4 linked regions of the Caenorhabditis elegans genome follow. The protein of the gene in region 3 interacts with the protein of the main gene of each other region in a pairwise test. Each region holds a gene or a part of one and is shown on either strand. Other genes may lie near its edges. The genes, in order: T27A8.2, pah-1, end-3 and mif-3.

Region 1 (5,421 bases), on a different chromosome or scaffold from region 3:
AGAAGGCTCGGCTGATTTGGAAAACATGGGGGATTTGACGGAGAAGGCTGGCGGCGAGGGAACGTCTGGAGCCCCAGCTTCATCATGAGCTGTTTTTGTTGATTAATTAATATTGCAACTAATTATTGGTTTGTTACTTTTCTTATTAATTTCTTTTATTACTGCTTTTTTTGTTTGTTGTTCAGATGAAGTTATTTTTGTTACGAATTCTGCTACAATCAACCAAAATTATTTGTTCTGGGGCTTTCATGAGCCAAAAATGCTTCATGTCTTTCCGGCCGCTACATTTGGACCCATTTCTACCGTACTCATGCCCGTTCGCAACGCACGCGTGAAGCATGCTTCCTTTCGCAATGCACGCGTGAAGCATGCTTGCTTTCGCTACGCGCGCCTGACGCATGCGTGACGCGCGTCTTCGCTTGGTCCTCTCAGACGCGTGAGCGAAGCGTGTGAGACGCGCCACGCATGAGCCGCGAATCACCTGTGAGGGTTCAATCCCCTCACCGAACCAAGGTGGTTCTGAGTTGCTCACATGCTCAGATAAGTGGAAGTTCGGAAGATTGATGATCAAAAAGGTGGTGTTGAATCTTATTGTTTCATTCAACATTGACAAAAGATCGAAAAATGTTTTTTTCATTTTCATAGAATTGTCTTCAACTAGGCTTATACTCTTTTCACTCTCTTTTTCTGCTTTAGTTTCCCACAGCGTTTGTCAGAAATAACAAAGTTTGTATGATTTTTTTCCAATTTTTCCGGAAGAAATTTATGTTGGTAGGAATGTTTTGAACTGAAGACAAAAACTCCTGTAGCGCGACCAAAAACGAATTTCTTGACCCAGAAACGTACCCATAATACTAAAAAAAAATTAGCAACCATTTTTAAAAAAATTCTCCCAAAATTCCGAAATTTTTATTTTTGTTTTTTTTGTGCCTGTATATACCTGTTGAAATTGGAATTCAAGCCAAAAACCCCTGTAGCGCGACCAAAAACGAATTTCTTGACCCAGAAACGTACCCATAATACTAAAAAAAAATTAGCAAACCATTCTCATAGAAACTCTCCAAAAATTTCAAAATTTTTTTTTTGCAAAAAAGTGCAGTCATATGTATGTAAAAAAATGAATTGAAGACAAAAACCCCTGTAGCGCGACCAAAAACGAATTTCTTGACCCAGAAACGAACCCATAATACTAAAAAAAAAATTAGCAATCCATTTTCATAGAAATTCTCCCAAAATTCCGAAATTTTTATTTTTGTTTTTTGTGCCTGTAAATACCTGTTGAAATTGGAATACAAGACAAAAACCCCTGTAGCGCGAACAAAAACGAATTTCTTGACCCAGAAACGTACCCATAATACTTTTAAAAAAATTAGCAATCCATTTTCATAGAAATTCTCCCAAAATTCCAAAATTTTTATTTTTGTTTTTTTGTGCCTGTTGAAATTGTTGATATTGAGGAAACCTGTTGAAATTGGAATTCAAGACAAAAACCCCTATAGCGCGACCAAAAACGAATTTCTTGACCCAGAAACGTAATACTAAAAAAAATTAGCAATCCATTTTCATAGAAATTCTCCTAAAATTCCAAAATTTTTTTTTTGCAAAAAAGTGCAATCATATGTATGTAAAAAAATGAATTGAAGACAAAAACCCCTCTAGCGCGGCTAGAATATAACTTGTAGGTCCAGAAACTTATCCATAATCTTTTAAAAAATTTAGAATCCAAATCTATGGAAACCCTACCAAAATTCCAAAATTTTTGTGAAAAAACTTCTGTCGAATACCATAGGAATTCTTCTAAACTTTGAAAATTTTCATTTTTGTTTTTTGCGCCTATATTTGGATTACCGGGGGGAGTCCCATAGTTATTGGCGGGACATTCAAATTTTCTAAGAAAAAATTTAGGCGAGAAACTCAAATTTCCTGAGAAAAAAAAACATTTTGGCAGGAAATTCAAAGATTCATAGTCCGGAACTAGATTTGCTTTCTTTCCTTGTTAGTAGTGCGGCATTTCTTTTTGCTGCAAGATATGCCGTTGTTGTTCTGCTTATTTCTGGAAAAAATTTCATTTTAATATTTTTGTGAAAATTTTCTGTTTTTCCATGTTTTTCTATGAATAACTTTTATGGAAATTTTTATGAATTGTTTAGCTTTAACAATCCTTCTAACAGTTAGGAAATGACTAAATATTATAATGGATCTTTTAAAAATTTGTGGAATTTTTTTTTATTTCGGGTCTGATCGTGCGCCAATTTTGGAGAAACCAAAACACTGTTGCTTGTTTGAATCCCAACAATATTAAAATAGGATTACTGGAAACGTGAGTCAAATTTAAAACTGAAGGTAACTTTTTTTTTGAATATTTTTATTATGATATTTGGACATTTTTAAATTTTAATGTGAACGAGTTTTAATCTTTTCCCACAGGCCGTTGTCCATCTTCAATTAAAGTTTTTTTTCATCTTTACAATCATCAATTTTATAAAACCTTCAACTATGCTCAGATATAGCCGACTCAAACTTTTCATAATTTCGAAATTCAATTTTTTTTCAATTTTTTTGTTTCCTTTTGATTTGGTCATTACGAGTTCGTTGTCGTGTCAAGATTTGACCTACGACAAGTTGGTGTTGCCTGCAATGCGTGAGTCGCGCGACAGGTCTGCCCTCGTCTTCCGCACACTATTATCGATCGATGGTTTATGGCCGTTTGCTGACATTTGAATGTGCCATTCTCTCATATCCACAGCTATACTTTTTTGTGGTTTTTTTTTTGTTATTTTTCATGTAATTTTCGCCTAACTGAATCTGACGTCTGCACGATTTAAATTTTTTCCCACTCGGCAAGTTGCCGCAATATAAGATCCAAAAAAACAAGACATTTCTGTATTTCCTTTATTATGTACGTGGCAAATAAATTTGAGAACCTTCAACTAACTAAGTAAATTTTCATTTTCAGCTACCATGACGTATTTCACTCACGAAATGAACCAAATTATGGGGCTTCATCATCCGGAAATGGCGATGCCCAAGTTCAAAATGGTCGCCCTGGTCAGTGCTGCGATGGAAGAAGCGGATGACGTGTTTCCGGAGATTGAAGTAGTTGTCAAGTGGATCACCGACTTGTTCCCGTATTACAAAGTGTTTCACGATATGTACAAATGGGAGTTTGTTAATCATGTGGCCTGGGTTCTGGACACCGAACTGTGCTTTCGTCGAGAAAGGTGAGTTTTGTGAAGTTTGTAGAAATATTTTTAACAAAAATTTGAAACATTTCAAATTCTTTTTCAAATATTATCGGAAACTGAATTTTGTTGTCAGATTTGCGTGTAGCGTTTAAAAATTGGTTTTCATATAATTTTCAACAAATTCAAGTAAATCCAGAATGTAATTACAACAAAAAATAAAAATAAAGTTCTGCTAAAAAATATCAGATAACAAGTTATATAGCCAAATCATACAATTGCTGTTCATATAATTTAGACATAAGAACCAGAACTGTGCGGCAACCGGCAACCAAGTTGCCGGTTGCCAAAAATTTGCCGAAATTTCGGCAACCAAAATTTGCCGGTTGCCAAAATTTTTTGGGTTTGGCAACTTCGGCAATTGCCGGTTGCCGCACAGCCCTGATAAGAACCCCACAATTTCTCCAAAAATTTCACCAAAATTTCTTTTTATCAGTTTTTTGGAAAAACAAAAATATGTGAATACTCATAAAAACTGTATTTTTTTGGTTTATAAATTTTGCTAAATTTAATCACTAGCACTTACTTAAGAATAACTCCAAAAAAAACTTAAGAAATAACTCCAAAAACTATTCGTATATGTTTTTTTATACTTTCAATTTGCAGAGACGTGAGATCTGGACTATGGGCTTATGAAGACGGCAACAAGGATATTCTGGATGTTGAGGAGGAGTTTCGAAAGGATATAGACGAGTTGAAGCAATATGTGGAGCATCAGGTGGAAATGGTATGTTGCCATGGAAATTTCAGTCATATTATATTAAAAATTGTTTTGCAGACGGATCTTGCTGGACGGATGTATTCGATGTCCTCAACCGGGTGATCTCTTGACAAGTTTTTCATAAAAATATTTCATTTATACATTAATTCAACTTATTCACTTTTTAGATTTTATTGAACCAATTCTGTATATAAAAAAGTTTCCAGTTCAAAACATTCCTACCAACATAAATTTCTTCCGGAAAAATTGGAAAAAAATCATACAAACTTTGTTATTTCTGACAAACGCTGTGGGAAACTAAAGCAGAAAAAGAGAGTGAAAAGAGTATAAGCCTAGTTGAAGACAATTCTATGAAAATGAAAAAAACATTTTTCGATCTTTTGTCAATGTTGAATGAAACAATAAGATTCAACACCACCTTTTTGATCATCAATCTTCCGAACTTCCACTTATCTGAGCATGTGAGCAACTCAGAACCACCTTGGTTCGGTGAGGGGATTGAACCCTCGACTGTTGACTCCACGGTCGAGTGCTTTACCACACTTGACCATGTTGCCAGCTCAGGATGAGTCACTGATTGCGTTGAGTTGGCGCCATGAAAACGTGGCGCGGTGGCGTAGAATGGCGCAATTTGTGCTGAAAAATGAACACTAAATGTGGGTAAAGTATATATTTCTAATATCAGAATTTTGCACTGATTTCAATGGGCAGCTTCAAATTGTTCAATTTTCAATCTAGCAGAAATTGGGACTTTTGCCAAAAAAAAAAATAAATCGTCAAATTCTATTTGTAAACCACGTTAAACATTATTAACTGTGAAAATGGTAAATGGTCCCATATCAGGGTGTCCCACAAGAAGATGATCTATAACGAAGTATCATAATATATCAATAAATCCAATTGACAACAGGTACTTTTGGTACACCCCTTTTGGTTGAGAAAAGATGGGGCGCAAAAAATAAAGTCATCGAATAAAAAAGTGAGACTGGCACCATTTATAAAAGTGCCGTAGCACGGCGGACAATTTGCAAAATAATTTCCAACAGCTGCAACACAGACAAATTAATATGACTTGAGGTTTTAGCAAAACTCTGTTTTTTTTTCGATACTGAGCTGTCATCAAAACTGAATTGCATTGTTTCAGATATCTATTTCAAAAGTTATTTGAGATAAGTTCAAGTCCGAGTCGGATTTAAGTTTGAAACCACTAGCTAGTCCACCTTCAAACTTTAATTTAGATCAAAAATCTTTTAAAAACAATTTTTGTGGCCACTCGCGCAGGTAGCCATCCTCCCTGCTGCTAAATTCGCTTTTAGGCGGTCACAGATATGGGAAGGGGCATCTGACTTTTAAATATAAAGTGCCATGACTCGTTTTTTTTTTTCAAATTTGCCGCAGGGAGTTGCACATTCTGTGGATAATCAATATGGTCGCTGTGGGGGGTTGTCCATATGGCCA
Region 2 (6,805 bases), on a different chromosome or scaffold from region 3:
ACCAAAAGATGTTCCAACTTTTTGGTGGTTTTCTGAACTAATAGATGAAATAAGCGTTTAAATAAAAAACCAACAATTTGCATTTCGTTATCAACAAAATGTGCGACAAGCTTCTCTGTGTTCACGCATCCTAATAGTCCATGCTCCGGCCAATACATTGATGCACTGTATTCACATCGAACCATTTCATATTTTCCTTCAATTGTCAAACTTTGTGCTTTTTTGAAGTTTACCCAATCATAATGAAATGATTTTGATTTTTCAATATGATCGAGAATAAGTAATTGAATGCTTCCTCCGACATCTGCTCCACTATATATCTTATCATCGAGAACAAACATGCACTGAAAAGTTGGATTAAATGGATATTTTTTATTATATAGTCTTAGAATTTCCTAGTTTATTTTTTAAAGGAAAATTTTCCCTAAAATATCAAGTGAGCCTAACATATCAATAGCAAATATGCAACAAACGATGAGTTGAAACTTGGCAAATCGATCCAGCTTTCCAGAGCACATATCTACCGTTGGTAAAATTCCCTGTAAAATTGGATTGATTGGCCAAGGAATCAAAACTTCGTGGTGGCTCTCCATATTTTTTTGTATTTTAATATTTTAATACCGCTTGTAAGTTACCTTTTATGCAGGCGAACTTGCATACTTGCAAGTTCAAATAATTGGAAGTCTATTTTTAATTTCTGAATAGTTATTTTTCCAGTTTACCTTCACCACTCCAGAATCGTTCCAAGCTCTGCCCATCACTGGTTTTCCGTGTTTATACCATAATGCGACGTACTTATTTGTCTCACCAGGAGCTTTTGCAACATTTGGTGGAAAAGGTGTGCCAACTTTTTGTAATGTCCAAATATCGTCTATGTTTCCCTGAATAAATCACTTGCAGAATGTTTGAATGCGTGCAATAGCCATCAAATAACTGAAAGCCACTCACCTTTTCCATTGTGAACCCTTTCCTATCCATTAAAAATTTAAAACTGATTTGATTTCACTGTTCCGACCATTTTTTTCTATCTGGTTCACGTAATAACGAGTTTTCTGCTGAACAAGTTTATTTAAATTTATTTAAAATATAGATAAAAATGGAAGGTCAGATTGGATATCTTCCACGCGACTCGGTGCATTCAAGATATAAGATGATAACGTAAACTGATGATTATCCCGGCAGTACCTCCTTCCTTTTCCTTTTTCGTACATTCCATCAGTTATATTATTGGTCTGTTGAGTCCAGCTATATAAGGATGAATATTGATGAAATTAGAAAGGTATGTTTGATCCATTTTTCTCAATATTATGATATAATTTTTGTACATCGAGCTCTTTATTTATACTAGTCCAACGTCAAACATTTGCATTTGTAATAAGAAACTGATGTTTGCCAAATTATCTGAAAAAAAAAATCAATTTGCTAATTTTGAATATTTTAAAAATACTTTTTTTCGGCCATACTTTAATTTTTCAAAAAGAGGGTAACAGCTGAAAATACATAAATACAAAGTCCTACCAGGCGGCCTATGCCAGCCTCTATTGCCAAAGTATACGTGATATCCGTGGAAGTTACAATCTAAACAAAAATTTGGTCAAAACTACGGAAATTATTAAAAAAAATTATAGAATTTGTTATCATACTATTAGAAAATTGTTAAATAATTTCAATTAATTAAAAACTGTTTGAACCAAAATATTTTGCTATCTTCAAAAGTGTTATCATCCTTATATTTTCCCCTGTTTTCATCGAAACCGTCGCTGATCAGTTGATCTCGTACACGAGTATTTTCAAAATTTCTCCATTTTTTATGATCAACCATCGACTAAATTAATTGTTTCAATGCTGTATTACTGTTCCTATTTACCTCATTGACATAGACATCTCAGATCATGGTCTGCAGAAGATTCGCGTTGCAAACGAAAATTTTCACGAAAAGTTGATAAAAGCCAGTCGGACATCATCAACTATTGATCGTTTCTGCCGTTTTCAAACTGATTTATGACATCGTCTTGTCTCATCCATTCATATAAATTTCTTTCTTCTAAATTTATCATCCTAAAATGTCAGACATTCAACCAAACGTCCTCCTATATATTTCCATCTAAATATTCCACGTCTTCATCTCATCTCATTTTCCTTCCTTTTCACAATACAAAGGATGCGTCAACCAGTTTTCATTATTGTGTTCTGTTGATTTTTCTCAGCGTCCCCCTCCTACTTTCGATTCGATACACCATGATTTTATGGCTTTTACCGTAACCCATTTGATCGTTTCAAAGAAAACTTGGTTTTTTCTTCAATCAAAACCATTGAAATGTCTGTTTAAGGTCAAAAACTAAAATTCGAGAAATTTGAGGAAGTTGAAAAAAAGTTTTGAACGAGGCTCGTCACAAGGCAGTCGTAAGACTCCAAATTCGGTAAATTTACTCAACAAAAAAAACCTGTTTCAGTTTCCCCTTTTTCAGCATCGTGAAAAAATGAAACATTCCACTATCCATATTTAAGCTTCATCAATTAATTGAAATTGAAAAATGACTGTATGTAAGCACATACGCCTGAAAAGGCCTACAATCCAATTCATACCCAACGTCTTAAATTTCAACTCAACTAGAAACAGAGATTTACATCTATTTTACGAAGAAGATCCACTGGGGCATGCTTTCTTTTGGAAGTTCAAACTGTATTTCATTGATCATAATCATATCTTTTATTGTTCAGGCGTCCATTTGTCTGTGATCTATTTCATATCATTTTCCACGTGCTTTCAAGTTCATCATCTGACTGTTCTTCTTCTTCTTCGTATTTTTTTCAATTTCTTCCAACCGTTCTTCTATCTCACACTACACTCTAATGAAAACCCACGTGTAGGTTGTGTATGGGTAGCCGCGAGTCTCCTCCCACGTGGATTTTTCTCTGCAGAATGGTATTGGGGGCCACACGAATTATCTAGTTCATAGGCCACGCCTTGTATCTCTAGGCTTCTGAGTCTCCAGCTATTTCGTCTCGTATAAACGGCAACGTACGGCTCACGTTTTGTCTCTGTTTAATTCTTATTTCCCGGTGACTGTCTATTCCTCTGAAAACCAAATCTTGTTCTCTGAAAATGCCACCAGCTGGACAAGATGATCTTGACTTCTTGGTGAGACCTTCCTTGTTTGAACTGATCAAGAAAAACTTCTGTTTGAGAATTTTGTGTAAAATTATTTCCAATTACTAAAGTCCAACTTATTTCAGAAGTACGCCATGGAATCGTACGTTGCTGACGTCAACGCCGACATTGGCAAGACTACTATCGTATTCACTCTTCGTGAAAAGGCAGGAGCTCTCGCTGAAACATTGAAGCTGTTCCAGGTTAGTCATGAAAAAAACCAGACTAGAAATGTCAGAGGATCATGAGACTTCAGAGGATGACTATTGCGTCAGCGACACTTTTTTTTTTAAATCTTATGATTCTCACGTCTACTCTTGATCAGGCGGTTTAATATTTTATGCATCATAAAGCGTTGAATAATATGATCTTCAATTATGTTTAGACGGTTGAGTAGACATAGAAAAAACATTTATATCAAATTAAAATTTGAAAATTTGCACCAAACTGTTTCTAAATATGATAAGAGATAAACTACGTAGTTGCATTTTTTAATCCGGTTCGCGATTTTTGATTATCAAAGATGTCGAAAATCGTGTCACGAGAAAAAGAGATCATATCAATTGTCTCAAATTCCTACCAATTACATGCTTCATTACACATTCTTGCAGGCACATGATGTGAATCTGTCTCACATTGAATCAAGACCATCAAAGACTCATGAAGGATGCTATGAGGTGCTCGTTGAATTTGCTGAAGCTGAAGACCATCGTAAGATTGAAGGAGTTATTGAGCATTTCCAACAAAAAGCTGAAAAGAAGGTTCTTGTTCAAGACTGGAACACCAAAAACAAACAAAACAAGGGTACGCTATAACAATAATGAAACTCACAGTATTAAATTCAAGAGCTTTGTAGATTCTGTTCCATGGTTCCCACAGAAGATCAACGACATCGATCAATTTGCCAACAGAATTCTTTCTTATGGAGCTGAGCTTGATGCCGATCACCCTGGATTTAAGGACATGACCTACCGCGAGCGCAGAAAGTTTTTCGCCGATATTGCATTCAACTTCAAACAGTAAGTCATTTCATCAACAAAAGTAGCAATATGTGCCAATAAATATGTAACATTGAAGGCGTACTGAATAAAATCCAAAAAATCCGAATTGCAACCTGATCGTACTTTCCAGCGGAGACAAGATCCCTACTATCACCTACACTGATGAAGAAATTGCCACGTGGCGTACAGTCTACAACGAGCTGACAGTTATGTACCCGAAAAACGCTTGCCAAGAGTTCAACTACATATTCCCACTCCTCCAGCAGAATTGTGGTTTTGGACCTGACCGCATTCCACAATTGCAGGATGTTTCAGATTTTTTGAAGGGTAAACAAATCATTATCATCTGATTGTTTTTGTATTTGTTTCGTGTTCAGATTGTACCGGGTACACGATTCGACCAGTCGCTGGTCTTCTTTCTTCTCGTGATTTCTTGGCTGGTTTGGCCTTCCGTGTTTTTCATTCCACACAATACATTCGCCATCATTCCGCTCCAAAATACACACCTGAACCGTGAGTTTGAACATGATAATTTTAACCGAGGGTGGGATTTCGTAAACGACTTTTGCTTTGAAAAAATTGTGAAAACTCTATAGTGCAACATAAAAGGAAAATAAAATCTAATCGGTTGATTATCATCTGGATATATTCTGAATTTTTGACAATAAGCTGGAGATGTAACTTTCAGAGATATCTGCCACGAGCTTCTGGGACATGTTCCACTATTTGCTGATGTTGAATTTGCACAATTCTCACAGGAAATCGGTCTTGCTTCTCTTGGAGCTCCAGATGATGTTATTGAAAAACTTGCCACAGTATGTTTGAACATTGAAACCCCCTTTTTATTTTGAAATATTAGCTCTACTGGTTCACAATCGAATTTGGAATCTGTCAACAAGATGGGGAGAAAAAAGCTTACGGAGCCGGACTTTTGAGTTCATTTGGAGAGCTTCAATATGCGTTGAGTGATAAGCCGGAAGTTGTAGATTTTGATCCAGCTGTATGTTGTGTCACCAAATATCCAATCACAGAATATCAGCCAAAGTATTTCTTAGCTGAATCATTTGCAAGTGCTAAGAACAAACTTAAGTAGGATCAAATAGTCAGTTTCAACTGTAATCTAGATAATTTCAGATCATGGGCAGCTACCATCAATCGTCCATTCCAAATTCGTTATAATGCTTACACTCAACGAGTTGAAATTCTCGACAAGGTAGCAGCACTTCAACGTCTCGCAAGAGACATCAGAAGTGATATTTCTACTTTGGAAGAAGCTCTTGGAAAAGTGAACAATCTCAAGATGAAGTGACTTTTTGATTAAATTGTTAATTTGCAAGAATAAATGTACATTGTTCTCAATGTTTGTTGAATTACAAAGAAACCTGAACAACAATTACAAATTTGTCCATGCTGCTCGATTTACAGACGATTTTTAAACTACCTACGATGGAGTTACAACTATGATGACTGTTCTAAAAAACATATCATATTCCCTTAACTCCTTGAAAACAGGGAAATGTGAAAACTAATTAATTAAAAATAGTGTTCACCGTCGTTGGAAGCAATGCACTGAAATGAAAATAAACAATTCGAAGCCTTGTTCACTTCCAATTGTTTTGTTTTTTTTCTCTCGCCAGGATTAACGCGTATTTTTCCAACATTTTTCCGGCATCTGAAACGATTTCCTTTTCAGCAATTACTTTATTTGAAGCATCACATGAAAAAAGTGCGAAAAATTGGTGTGAGCACCAAAATGTTTCCCAAATTAAAGCCAGTTATCCATTTTTGTTGCAAAAACCACGTCATCTACGACAGCGAGTGTTTTGGTGTGAGTGATCTAACTGCGAAAAACGAAAACTGTGCATATAAATTGTCATGCATTTTTGATTATTGTTTAGTTTTTGTGTGTGTGTGTGTGTTGTACGGAAGTCTCGTTGTGTGTCCAAAATGAAGTGCTTTTGACTTCATCTGCAAAAAGAAGTAAAAACTGGCACTGAGTTCTCAAAACTAGGTTATGCAAATGTAGAGGTCTAGTGAAACATTTGTATGTGCACTTTGTTATCATTTTAAAGGTGCGGCTCCACGTACATTTAATCAATTCTTTTTCTTCTTATGTTGTCTTCCTTTCTTATCATGATTATTACAAGCATGCGTTTTCAACTCCTTTTCAATTCATTTTTTTTGGAAATTAAATTGAATTTGTGTTTAATCAAAACATCAATTTTCCCAATTTTAGTATCTAGTTGGCACTTGTGTATTATTTCCCTTATTTTTAAAAAATAAGTTTTAATATTTTAACCATAACCAGGAAATAACCGTAAAGAGGGAAAATGAACATCATGTTTTATTAAAATGGATAAATATATGGAATTTAAAAATGAGGGGAAATAATACACAAGTACCATCTATTTTACTTTAAAGATTGGCCAAATAATACATTCGGGTGTATTTTTTGTTTAATTTTTTGCAAATCTTCAAAGAGTAATCCTTTTGTTTAACCAATTGTTTCACTATTAAAATATGATTTTGATAGAATAAAATAATTGGAAACATATAGTACTGCCAGCTGTGTGAACATGCACACTGTTTGCATTCTCAATCGAATATTTTCCCTCTTTCCCTCGACCCACGATTTTATTATTTTTCATATTTG
Region 3 (5,251 bases):
AATGCGAACTTCTGGTCGTGCAACGGCTGCTGCGAAAATAAATATCGACTTCGATTAGTAGACCTCTCGTTTGGCTCGTCTTCCTTTGATACAGAAGCACGCGCTGACGAATTACAAGTTTTAAATTGATTCGCAGCGCTGAGAAAACGAGTAGCAAACGAGAACGGACGGATTGAAGAGACCCAAATTTTCGACGAAATTCGGTTGTTTTACCCTATAAAACACAAGTGGGGCCAAAATAACCAAGTGAGTATTTTGCGTCACACCGTGCAAGAAGGGGGAAAAATAATGGGAAAAACAACTTTTAAATCGTTCGAAAAATCGAATTTAGAAAGAAAAAACAGAAAAAGATGAAAGGTTTTGGGACAAATGCGAGAGACGAAAATCAAAAAAAGCGGGAGAAGGAGGTGCAAAGCGGTTTCGCTGTGAGACCCACCGCACGTTTAATGTCATGCGCCTTTAATCCAGCTGTACGCAGTGACGTCACGAAATACTGAAAGCGTCACGTTTTCTAGCGAATCAGCTGATATTGATTTCAAAAATCTTGAAATTGAATTATTCAATTTTTTCTCGTTCTAAAAAGTCCAAAAGCTTTCAATAATATATAAAAATCAATAATTTCGTAACCCGATGTCTGGCATTTCTGGTAAATTCTAGAATTTTTCCAATTGTCATCATTTCTTGTGTTTAAAAGTCTATATTCTCTCGTTTCCTATCAATATCGTTTGCTTTATTCAGCTATGGCGGAGTTCCCAAATCTCGGAAAGCACTGTGAGAGCACAGTTTGCAACAGACTTGGTAAGTCAACATTTAAAAAAAATTAATTAAATAAAAAAATAATTATTTCAGATTTTCTTCCAATCAAATGCTCCGGTTGTGGACATTTCTACTGCTCAGAGCACTTCACATTTGAGGCTCATAATTGTCCGACTGGCTCAAGAATTGTAAGTGTTTGAAAATCTTTTTTTAGATTAAAATTATTAAATTTCAGTCCGTTCAAGTTCCTATTTGTCCTATATGTGAGAAGCCAGTTCCAACGCCGAAAGATGTCAATGTTGATCAACAAGTAATTATTTTGAAATTATTCCTGCAAAAATATTGATAAAAATTGTTTCTTTTTCAGGTCAATGAGCACATTCAGAACAATTGTCAGACTCCGAAACGTGCAAAAGTATATTCAAACGCGTGTACCGTCCCAAAATGCAAGAAGAAAGAGCTGGTAGCCATGAATTGCTCAAAATGTCGAAACAACTACTGCCTTTCTCACAGACACGAGCGGGATCACAGTTGTGAGCGAAAAGTTGGCGAAATGAAGATAAATCAGAAAAAGAGCTGGACGGATTCGTAAGTTTATTGTTTTGAATAAATCGAATTTCAAGGTATTTTTCCAGAATCACATCAATCGCGCGTTCCCGAATGAATCCATGTTCCGCACAAGCAAGAACAGAGGTTTGTATCTATTTTCAAAAAAACAACTAACTAAATCACAAATGTTTCCAGGGAGATGAAGCTCTGGCTCGTTCTCTACAACAAGAAGAATACAATCGAGTTGCACCGCCGCATCAAACAAGAAATTCCAATTCCAACTGCACCGTCTCATAGCATCCAATTTAGTGTATATTTATTTCCCTTCTCATATTTTCTGTACAATTTGCATTTCTCTTCAACCTTGTTCTAGTTCATATCCGTGTCAAAACTTTTATTCATTTCACTTCGCCAACTTCAGTCCTACTAAAATATTGATTCTTTGTACAATGTTGAATACTTTTTCTTTTTTCTTGATATATGAAATTGTTCACCTGCTTTGAACTGTTGTTAATGGGTGTTCTGGGGTTCACAAAGTAAAATAAGAGTTTTGCAAACTTTTGACTGAAACGAAATTTGGACTTTTCAAACATTTTTTACCTAATTTTGAGAAATGCATCTTTTGGCTCAAAGGTGAGACTCACTGTGTAGGTCTCGACGCGAACAAAAAATATTTCGCGCAAAGGCGTGTGTTCCTTTAAATAGTACTGTCGCCAATTAATTTTTGCAGTTTCTACAGTATATCCCACGTGGTGTCAGAGTGTCCCATATCGGTTTGATCTTCGTAGATCTACGGGAATAGCGGTAATTTGACGCAGATTTCTCAACTACCAAAAATATTTGTTGGTTGAGAATTGAACAGAAAAAGAAGAAGAAAATACAAGCATGTCGAGCTTTACACAACTTTATCTAATAAATATTCAATTAATTTGGATCAGTTTTCTCTTTCAGCAATTACAAAAAATTTTGTTCCGTTAAAATTGTGAATGATTGGATTTGGAGAGAATCGAGTTTTTGGAAAAATAAAAAACAAGAGCAACGTGTTATGGTATTATTCATGTGATCTTTTAAAATGCAAACGTGTATTTTAATTTAATTGTTCCCCTATCAGAACCTCTCTAAATTTCACGTGTTTCAAATTCCCTCTTTTTCTCTCTACTCTTTCACTCTCGCACGTGAAAAACTTCTTTCCGAATGATAATTTGTGTTTAAAATGGAAATTTTATTGAAGTAAAATTTATGAAACAAATACTTTTAGTTTAAATCCGAGATGCACTTCTATTTGAGAGAGCCCACGGTAAATTAAAAAAGAAGTAAAAGTATACCAAACAAGTATGTTCCAAGTGTTCCGATGGCTCCGACAAAAGAGTATACACTGATTGTATAATCGGTTAGATGAATAGCTGAAAGTATACCACGTTCAAAGCACACCCCGCCTTGTGTCTCTTCTAGAAAAAGGCGGTTGCTGAAAAGTATACGGAACGCTGAGGCACGCCCTCTTCTTACCATGATTTGCTCCAAGATAAATGAATAGGCATTCTCATTCAAAGTATAAACATGTACTCGAACTCATTCTCTTCATCATCTTCATCTTCCAACTCACCAATGTCTTTTGATTTTGGATTCCCTCAGTTTCCCGAACAAGTCCAATTCAATGAAGAAGGCTACGGGACACCATCTCCAGATGTCCTCCAGAATATGAATTATCATCATTATCCGGCACAAGATATGACGACAAATTCATACAATGGAGGCTATGACAATTCAATGCAACAGAATTTTATGCAACCAGATAATGGTGCAGGATACTACAGTGAGTTTTAAAAAACTATTTTATTTTACTTTTATATTTAAAATTAATGTTTCAGATGAAAACTATCAACAGATGCCTGATTTTCAATTTCCAGTTCAAAATTTTGATTTTACAAATCAATTTGAATTCACGACGCCTATTAATGGTATAATTAACTATGAAACTTACAGCCTAATCTTAAATTTATTTTAGACCTCCAGCAATCTCAAACTTCCATCAACCACACCAATCCCGACAACAATGAAAATTCCATGCCAGAGATACCAATTGACGGGGGCTTCAACTTTTTTCCAGCTCAAGAAGTTCAAGAATGGAAGCCAGCTAGAAAAGCTTCGAAAAATAAAATCAAGAAGATTTCCACAATGCATATCAACTCTTCGTGCTCCAATTGTGGATGTCGGGAAACGAAATTGTGGAGGAGAAATGAGCAAGGAGAAACTGAGTGCAAGTAAGTTTGAATTATTTTGAATGTTCTATTTAAATTACGATTACAGTCAGTGAGAAAATGTTTAAAAATCATTCCTATGCTGATAAAGTTACCAGATACCGCAATGAAACTTTTTATCATCTTTTTGAAATGTTTTATTCATGTCGAAAAGTAGTAAAAACTCTTTTTTTAACCACTTATCGAGAAATTCAAAGCATTGTCTGTTTTTTGATCGACGATTTTCAAAAAAAAATTGGTGGAAATTTTTTTCACTATTTTTTGAGGGCTCTCTAGGTGTAAAAGTTTTGAACTTGAGTTTTTTAAATCTCATATTTTTCAGTCCGTGTAATCTTTACGAACGAGTCAAAGGACATAAAAGACCACAACATCTTTGGAATAAGCCAGCTGCCAAGAGAAGACGCCGTCCAGTTGCTCCACTTGTTGACTCTAATGCTTTTAATTTTTGATTTAACTGATCAACTCTGTGCAATAAGCATTATTATTTTTCTAATCAAACATGACCTTTCGGTTATAATTTAACTATTTGTTTTATTTCCCCTCTGCTGGTTTCCATAATAAATAAATAAAAAAACTTCATGCTCTTGATACTACAGTTTTCCAGATCAATTGTGAATTTCGAACAGCTTGTTCAGATTTGAAATGTAGTGTTGCAAGAATTGATTTCCTGTGTGGAGTGTGAACAATAAGCATGACTATAGTGGAAAGAACTCCATGACATGCAATTGCAATCATCGCAATGTTTGTGGCAGCTGGAAAAATGATTTTTTTTTTCAAATTTCAGCTTAATTTTACCTTGATTATAGTAATCATTTTCCGAAGCCATGACAAAATATGAAACTGGTAATGAGATGAATGCAACTGGAATAAATATTTGAATACACATTGAATAGAAGAATTGCTTTTGTAAGCGAGCAGTAGTTGCCGAGAGAGACACTGTTTGGGAAAAGTATCGAAAAATTGCTCCGAGAAAATACAATTTTTGGGGAAGACATATGAAGAACATGCTCAAAAGACAGGCATTGACTATTGTATTATCAGTGGCAAATACAAAATATTCCCGACGATTGAGAACTTCATTTGGAATACATGGATTTATCTGTAATTCACTTTTTGGTTAAAGCTTTCAAAAAAAAAACGAAAACTCACATTTTTCACATATTGCTTTGCTACTTCAGGATTCGGTAGTTTTAAATATGCGGGAATAATAAACGTCACTGATATAGTATAATTTAATACAACATATAAGGTACGTTTCCAGTTCAGTGATCCGTTTGTTGTATGCCCATGTATTAGTCGGTGATAGCGATCTTCGAAGAATATGGTTACAGCCACGCACATCACTGAAATATATTGAATTGTTCGGTTCCTCTCAAATTGAATAATTTAAAAAGGAATAGTAGCTTGAAAACCCTAGAGTAAACATTAAATTCGTAACTTGGGGAACTTGCTGTCAAACTTTGGCAGTTCTCTGTCCAACCTTCCAACAAACTTAGTCAATCTTCTGCCAAACTTTGGAAACTTTTGGTCAAACTTAGACAACCTACTGTAAAATTCTGGGATTTTTCTCTCAAACCTTGACAACTTACTCACTCTCGGAAGTTACAAAGGTTCGACAGAAAACTGCCGAAATTGGACAGAAAGTTGTCAAAGGTGCGTTGCCAAAATTTGGCACGAAGTTTTCTTTA
Region 4 (4,832 bases), on a different chromosome or scaffold from region 3:
GTCATTGGTTCACCAGCAAGTGTTTTAAATGTTGAAGTTAAAACTTAATTGAATGAAGCTTTAAATGAAATAGGTTTTCCCATGTCAACTCAATTTTCAATTAGCCTTAAAAATACATTTCTGAAATTTCATAGATTCTAACAGCGTACGCATGCTTGTTTTCCAAGCTCAAAATGTCTTCAACCTCAAAGTTTATTTTCCGGTATTCGGCAATTCCAACAGTTTTGGCAATAGCCAAATGGTTACTCAGTAATACACTTACACTTCAAATTAAGTATTAGGAGTTTCACAGTCTTCTAATAGTATTCACTGTTACTAACTGCTTAGTTCGTTTCGTTCATCCCCAGTGCATATTCTCGTAAAATCTAAGAGGTTTCTTGACACGATAATATGCGAAACATGTACATGGTTTGAGCACAGGACCCAACTATATTCAAATTAATTGCGTCATCACTGACATAACATACCTGAGCAGGAACCCAACATTGCAATGGTGATCCGACATACTGTCTTGCTGTAATTGTCAATGACATTCCCATAATAATAAGAGTTGAATAATAGTAATTGAGACGGTCAGTACCGAGGTCATCCAGCCTCGGTTTGACCATCGAGAACATGCTCCCGAGCATATTCATGCTGCCTCCAATTGATTTAGTGCCCTTTGCACGTGGATTCTGCTTCTTTTCTGGGATTCTAGGAGGACAATTAAAGAGGAACGAAGAAGGACGAAGAGCCTACTTCTAAACTGTATTCTTCTTCTTATTTTCTATGTTTCTCGAGAGGCTTTTCTCGAGGTTGTGGAAGCACTAAAATACACAGATAGAATGAGGGAACTGACACACTGATACATTTCAACGGTAAGTGATATATACAAGACAGAGAGACATGATGATTATTACGCAAACAGTGTAGTGGAGAGGAGTTCGCGCGGATTATTGCTCTCGGAGCTGGCAAAAAGAGCGGGGGCGCTGCTCTTTGGCACGACTGTCAAAGGACTAACTAGGACTAATTGTAAGAACGGGATGATATTATCAAATTAGATAATTGACACATGAAACGTGGCTTATTTTCAATTTGCTTATTATTTAGGCTCCTCCCACGTCTCACATTCAGTTTAATTTTTAATTTCTCACAATCTGTGAATTTTTAAGCAAAGGGGGAGCTATTTAATAAAAAATTCATTACACAAAAACGAAGTTGCGCCAAAAATACGGTACCCGGTCTCGACACGACAATTGTTAGTAAAATTCAAAATGGTGTGCGCCTTTAAAGAGTACTGTAGTTTGAAACACTCGTTGTTGCGTAACCTTAATCGCCATTTAACAGTTTTGCTCACGTATTCTTCAAAGACGAACATACTTTTACATTTTGGAAAAATTTGTCGAGACCACACACCAGACACCGTATTTTTAGCGCCAAAATCACACTAATAATATTACATTTAAAATCTCATTTTTCCGAAATTTTGATTCGGAAATTCCAAAAATATAATGAAATTGGGAGAACTTTTTCAGATTTATGGTGGCAACGAAATGAGGGTTCAAACAAGTTTGGAGATCCTAGTATTCTGTCCGAGCCTATTTCGACAGTTGGACCCTGACAAAATTTCGATTAGATCTTCGATATTTAGAATCTCCTCTCAATCCGAACTTCTGAGTAGTGCCGTTTCTCATGTTTCTCGCACTAATTGTAAGATTGTTTTGATAAACTTTTATTATGATTTTACAATTATTTACAAATGAGTTACCGTTTGGGTTAAAATTTTTGAAAAGTGAATTGAATTGAGGGAATGCAATTATGGAATTGAGTGTTCAGATATATTTGAGGAATTGAAGGAGGAATGCAAGAAACGCAATGCCTAGAACTCCAATAATGAAGCGAGCACGATCTGTAGAGATGAATGGTCGATTTTCGGTAAGAATATGTCCATTGAATCCGATAAGTTCCGGGCTTAGCGATCGATAATTAATGAGGACTGCGTCAGAATCTAGAGCCAGCTCCTGCGAGAAGAATTCACAGAGAGCAACCGTGTATTCTTCGGTGAGAATCGGAGTAAGAACTGTGGATGATGTGACATCTAAAACAGCTAAGGGATCAGTCAATTGTCCTCGCGTCATTCGAGAATTCATGTCGAGCTGAAAAAGTTGATTTAACTGTCGTGAATACGATATCATAAATTGAAATAATTATAGTTACCTATTCAGAAATGAGTAGTTGTTTTTTAACAATATAGTAGTGTTCGGGTAAAATTATAAAACTACTCACCGAGACGAATATCTGGCTTTCAGGACGTTTCATCACTTTCGCCATATGAATTGCAAGTCGGACCTGAAAAAATTAGGCTTATTTTTGAAGAAAGATTTAATCTTACCTCGAACCCATCGGATACTTTTTTGACATTTGTTTGCACTTTGATGACGGGCATTCTGCACACAAAAATGGTGAAAACTGGGGATTTTACATACAGTGAAGATAGATATCGAATGGTATTAAATTCCGATTAATTAGGGAGAGTTAAATAAACTTTTTGACAAGAAAAACAATTTTTATTCTACCAACAAGTAAAAACGATCAATTAAAGGCCACAAAGAGATCGCAGAGCTTCACGGACATCTCCATTTGTTTCGATAAGTTTGGCACGAACTGTTCCTTCTTGAAGCTCTAATTCATTCATAATCAGTTGCAGATCCTCTTTCTTGATATTAATCTTGGGCCGTGCGGGAGCAGAAGCATTGAACAAGTTTCCAAGAGCGTCAGTATTGAGCTTCAAATCATCTTTCTCTTCTCTAGTGTCGGATACCTGAATAAATGAAGAATTTTAATGGAAAAATGTTAATAATGCAAATAAAAATCATACTTCTGGAATGTAATGCTCATCGAAATCACTCTCTTCCCCGTTCGAACTCATGCTGAATTCAGCCTTCAAAAAACGAGAATATTCGATGGAAGCAGTGGGAGGGAGAGAAACGGGTCGCGATTGTTACACCCCCAGGAGGAGAGCAAAATGCATCTATTTGCCCTCTTGGACGAGGATGAAAAGGTTCAGACGGACAGAGAGGACAACTCATCGCGCATTATTTTTGAAAAAATAAATTGAATTGAAACTCACTTTAGAAAGTTCTTCGCTTCCCCAGTTGTGTTTGTCCACCTGTTGTTTTTCGTCTTCCTCGCCCATATTCTAGAATAAAGGTTAATGAATCAGATAAGAAAAAGGTAAACGGTGCAGCGATAAATTAAAAGTAATAATTCAGAAAATATATCGCTGGAATTTGTAATAATCAGCTCTTTCAAAAATAAAAACTGAAAAAAAAATCGGCAAAAAACAACACACAATTGCCAACAAGACTCCGAAATCACGCGATGCGTGTTGTTTACTCTGTCTTGTGTAAGCGCGGTAATTTAAATTCTATTTTTGGTGCGCTAAACAACGACCAGTCGTTAGAACGGAGTGTCGTTCGGCACTTTTAAATTATTGATGGTCCTCCATTTTCCGAGTATTTTTCCTGTGTTTGTCACATTTCATGTCGATTTTTCACTAAATTCTCTCTTTTTTTTACAAATTCAATTTTCTATGTAGTATCGAACATTCGGTGTTTTCTTACAAATTCTGTCTTGCGTCAGAACGTTGAAATAAAACTGAATTCCTTTTTACGTCACATATGTTGATGCAGACGAATCAAAAACATTTATGATTCAGATTGGATTGATAAAAGGAGAACATCCTCCATATTTTATTCCATCTAACTTTGTCTCATGTTTCTGTCAAGTTCTTGCACACGAATTTTTTGTTTTTCCAGTTAAAATGATAATATTCTTTTGAATTAACTGAAGTGGTTTACCATAATTGGTGAAATCGGTTTATTTTTCACCGGATATGCATGCATGAATTGACTTTTCCGATTGCGCAACATTTTGTTTTATTTAGAAAACCACTCGAAACGCGTTTCATTTCTATTTTTCGGAAATCTGCCCTTCCACTTATATGTGTAATAATCAGTCAGTCATCAAAAATATTTTCTTTAATTCTCCATTCTCTAAGTCAGCTGAATCCGAATCGATTCGAACGAATTGGCCGTCGTCGTCGCAGACACCGTCGTCCGTGACCAGTTGGGTGCCTAATACGCACGATAGGACAGGTTCTTCTTGGGTTATTCAACCATTCTCCCCGCTACATTTTATACATCTAAATCGCGGTTTTAGCGTTCTCGTATCTGTGTCTCTATCCTTCGCCAATGTACCAAAAAACATAATTTTTTGAATAAAAAAGTCTGCTATGTTGAACTTATATTGATCTCCTCAAATGTTTGAGATATTCATGTACCTTAATTCATTTTGAATTAGAAATAAAAGGCAGTTTTTTTTCAAATTTTTGTCTCTCGATTTTTTGTATGATGAATGTGAAATTGAAAAAAAGTAACGAGAATTATAAAAGATCTTAAGGATCATTTTGGAATTAATTAATTAAATCTTCAGGTTTAAGATAGAATTTCAAGTTTTAATTAAGGTTCCCAAACAGAAAAATTCTCACTTTTCGTCTCAAAAAATGCTATCTCTGCCTGATTCTCTTTGTTTGTAGAAACTCCATTTTTCATTTCATTCAGCCAGCTACCTGACTGTGGCAACCAACAATCAATATTTTCTTTTCACATTAGCGACTCGTCAAGGACGTCGTCGTCCACCATTCCTTTTTATCAACCACCGGCGTCTCCTTTATGGACACTATTCGCGGTCCCCACACACATCGATTGGTCCGTAAATAACGCGCTTTGTGTTGTGCGCACGATAGTTAATGTTGTTTAATACTTACGAGTCTCACAAAAACCATAACTGTG

Evidence for each region.
Region 1: the proteins of end-3 (region 3) and T27A8.2 interact in a two-hybrid assay, tested with the Caenorhabditis elegans proteins (one large-scale study listed by BioGRID).
Region 2: the proteins of end-3 (region 3) and pah-1 interact in a two-hybrid assay, tested with the Caenorhabditis elegans proteins (one large-scale study listed by BioGRID).
Region 4: the proteins of end-3 (region 3) and mif-3 interact in a two-hybrid assay, tested with the Caenorhabditis elegans proteins (one large-scale study listed by BioGRID).

What each region holds. Positions count from the first base shown.
Region 1 is NC_003284.9:16,056,475-16,061,895, reverse strand, and holds T27A8.2 (Fork-head domain-containing protein), read left to right. Parts: upstream 1-2,950; 5' UTR 2,951-2,961; coding exon 2,962-3,221; intron 3,222-3,848; coding exon 3,849-3,969; intron 3,970-4,020; coding exon 4,021-4,065; 3' UTR 4,066-4,220; downstream 4,221-5,421.
Region 2 is NC_003280.10:8,761,373-8,768,177, reverse strand, and holds pah-1 (Phenylalanine-4-hydroxylase), read left to right. Parts: upstream 1-2,966; 5' UTR 2,967-3,106; coding exon 3,107-3,142; intron 3,143-3,237; coding exon 3,238-3,354; intron 3,355-3,762; coding exon 3,763-3,955; intron 3,956-4,007; coding exon 4,008-4,170; intron 4,171-4,282; coding exon 4,283-4,479; intron 4,480-4,529; coding exon 4,530-4,665; intron 4,666-4,840; coding exon 4,841-4,967; intron 4,968-5,011; coding exon 5,012-5,241; intron 5,242-5,286; coding exon 5,287-5,461; 3' UTR 5,462-5,556; downstream 5,557-6,805. Other genes in the region: nsph-1.1 (Nematode Specific Peptide family), read right to left, coding at 1-32, 75-344, 474-539, 723-881, 949-978. UniProt on the Caenorhabditis elegans protein: Catalyzes the hydroxylation of L-phenylalanine to L-tyrosine. Catalyzes the hydroxylation of tryptophan to 5-hydroxy-L-tryptophan. Plays a role in the biosynthesis of a melanin-like cuticle pigment.
Region 3 is NC_003283.11:14,011,839-14,017,089, forward strand, and holds end-3 (GATA-type domain-containing protein), read left to right. Parts: upstream 1-2,856; 5' UTR 2,857-2,862; coding exon 2,863-3,118; intron 3,119-3,173; coding exon 3,174-3,263; intron 3,264-3,310; coding exon 3,311-3,566; intron 3,567-3,885; coding exon 3,886-4,012; 3' UTR 4,013-4,139; downstream 4,140-5,251. Other genes in the region: aip-1 (AN1-type domain-containing protein), read left to right, coding at 741-798, 850-944, 992-1,066, 1,124-1,344, 1,392-1,449, 1,501-1,602; srh-308 (Serpentine Receptor, class H), read right to left, coding at 4,140-4,315, 4,359-4,662, 4,713-4,906.
Region 4 is NC_003279.8:7,311,100-7,315,931, forward strand, and holds mif-3 (MIF-like protein mif-3), read right to left. Parts: upstream 2,427-4,832; 5' UTR 2,426-2,426; coding exon 2,372-2,425; intron 2,329-2,371; coding exon 2,266-2,328; intron 2,136-2,265; coding exon 1,812-2,135; 3' UTR 1,698-1,811; downstream 1-1,697. Other genes in the region: Innexin eat-5, read right to left, coding at 468-635; F13G3.10 (Nascent polypeptide-associated complex subunit alpha-like UBA domain-containing protein), read right to left, coding at 2,576-2,800, 3,110-3,175.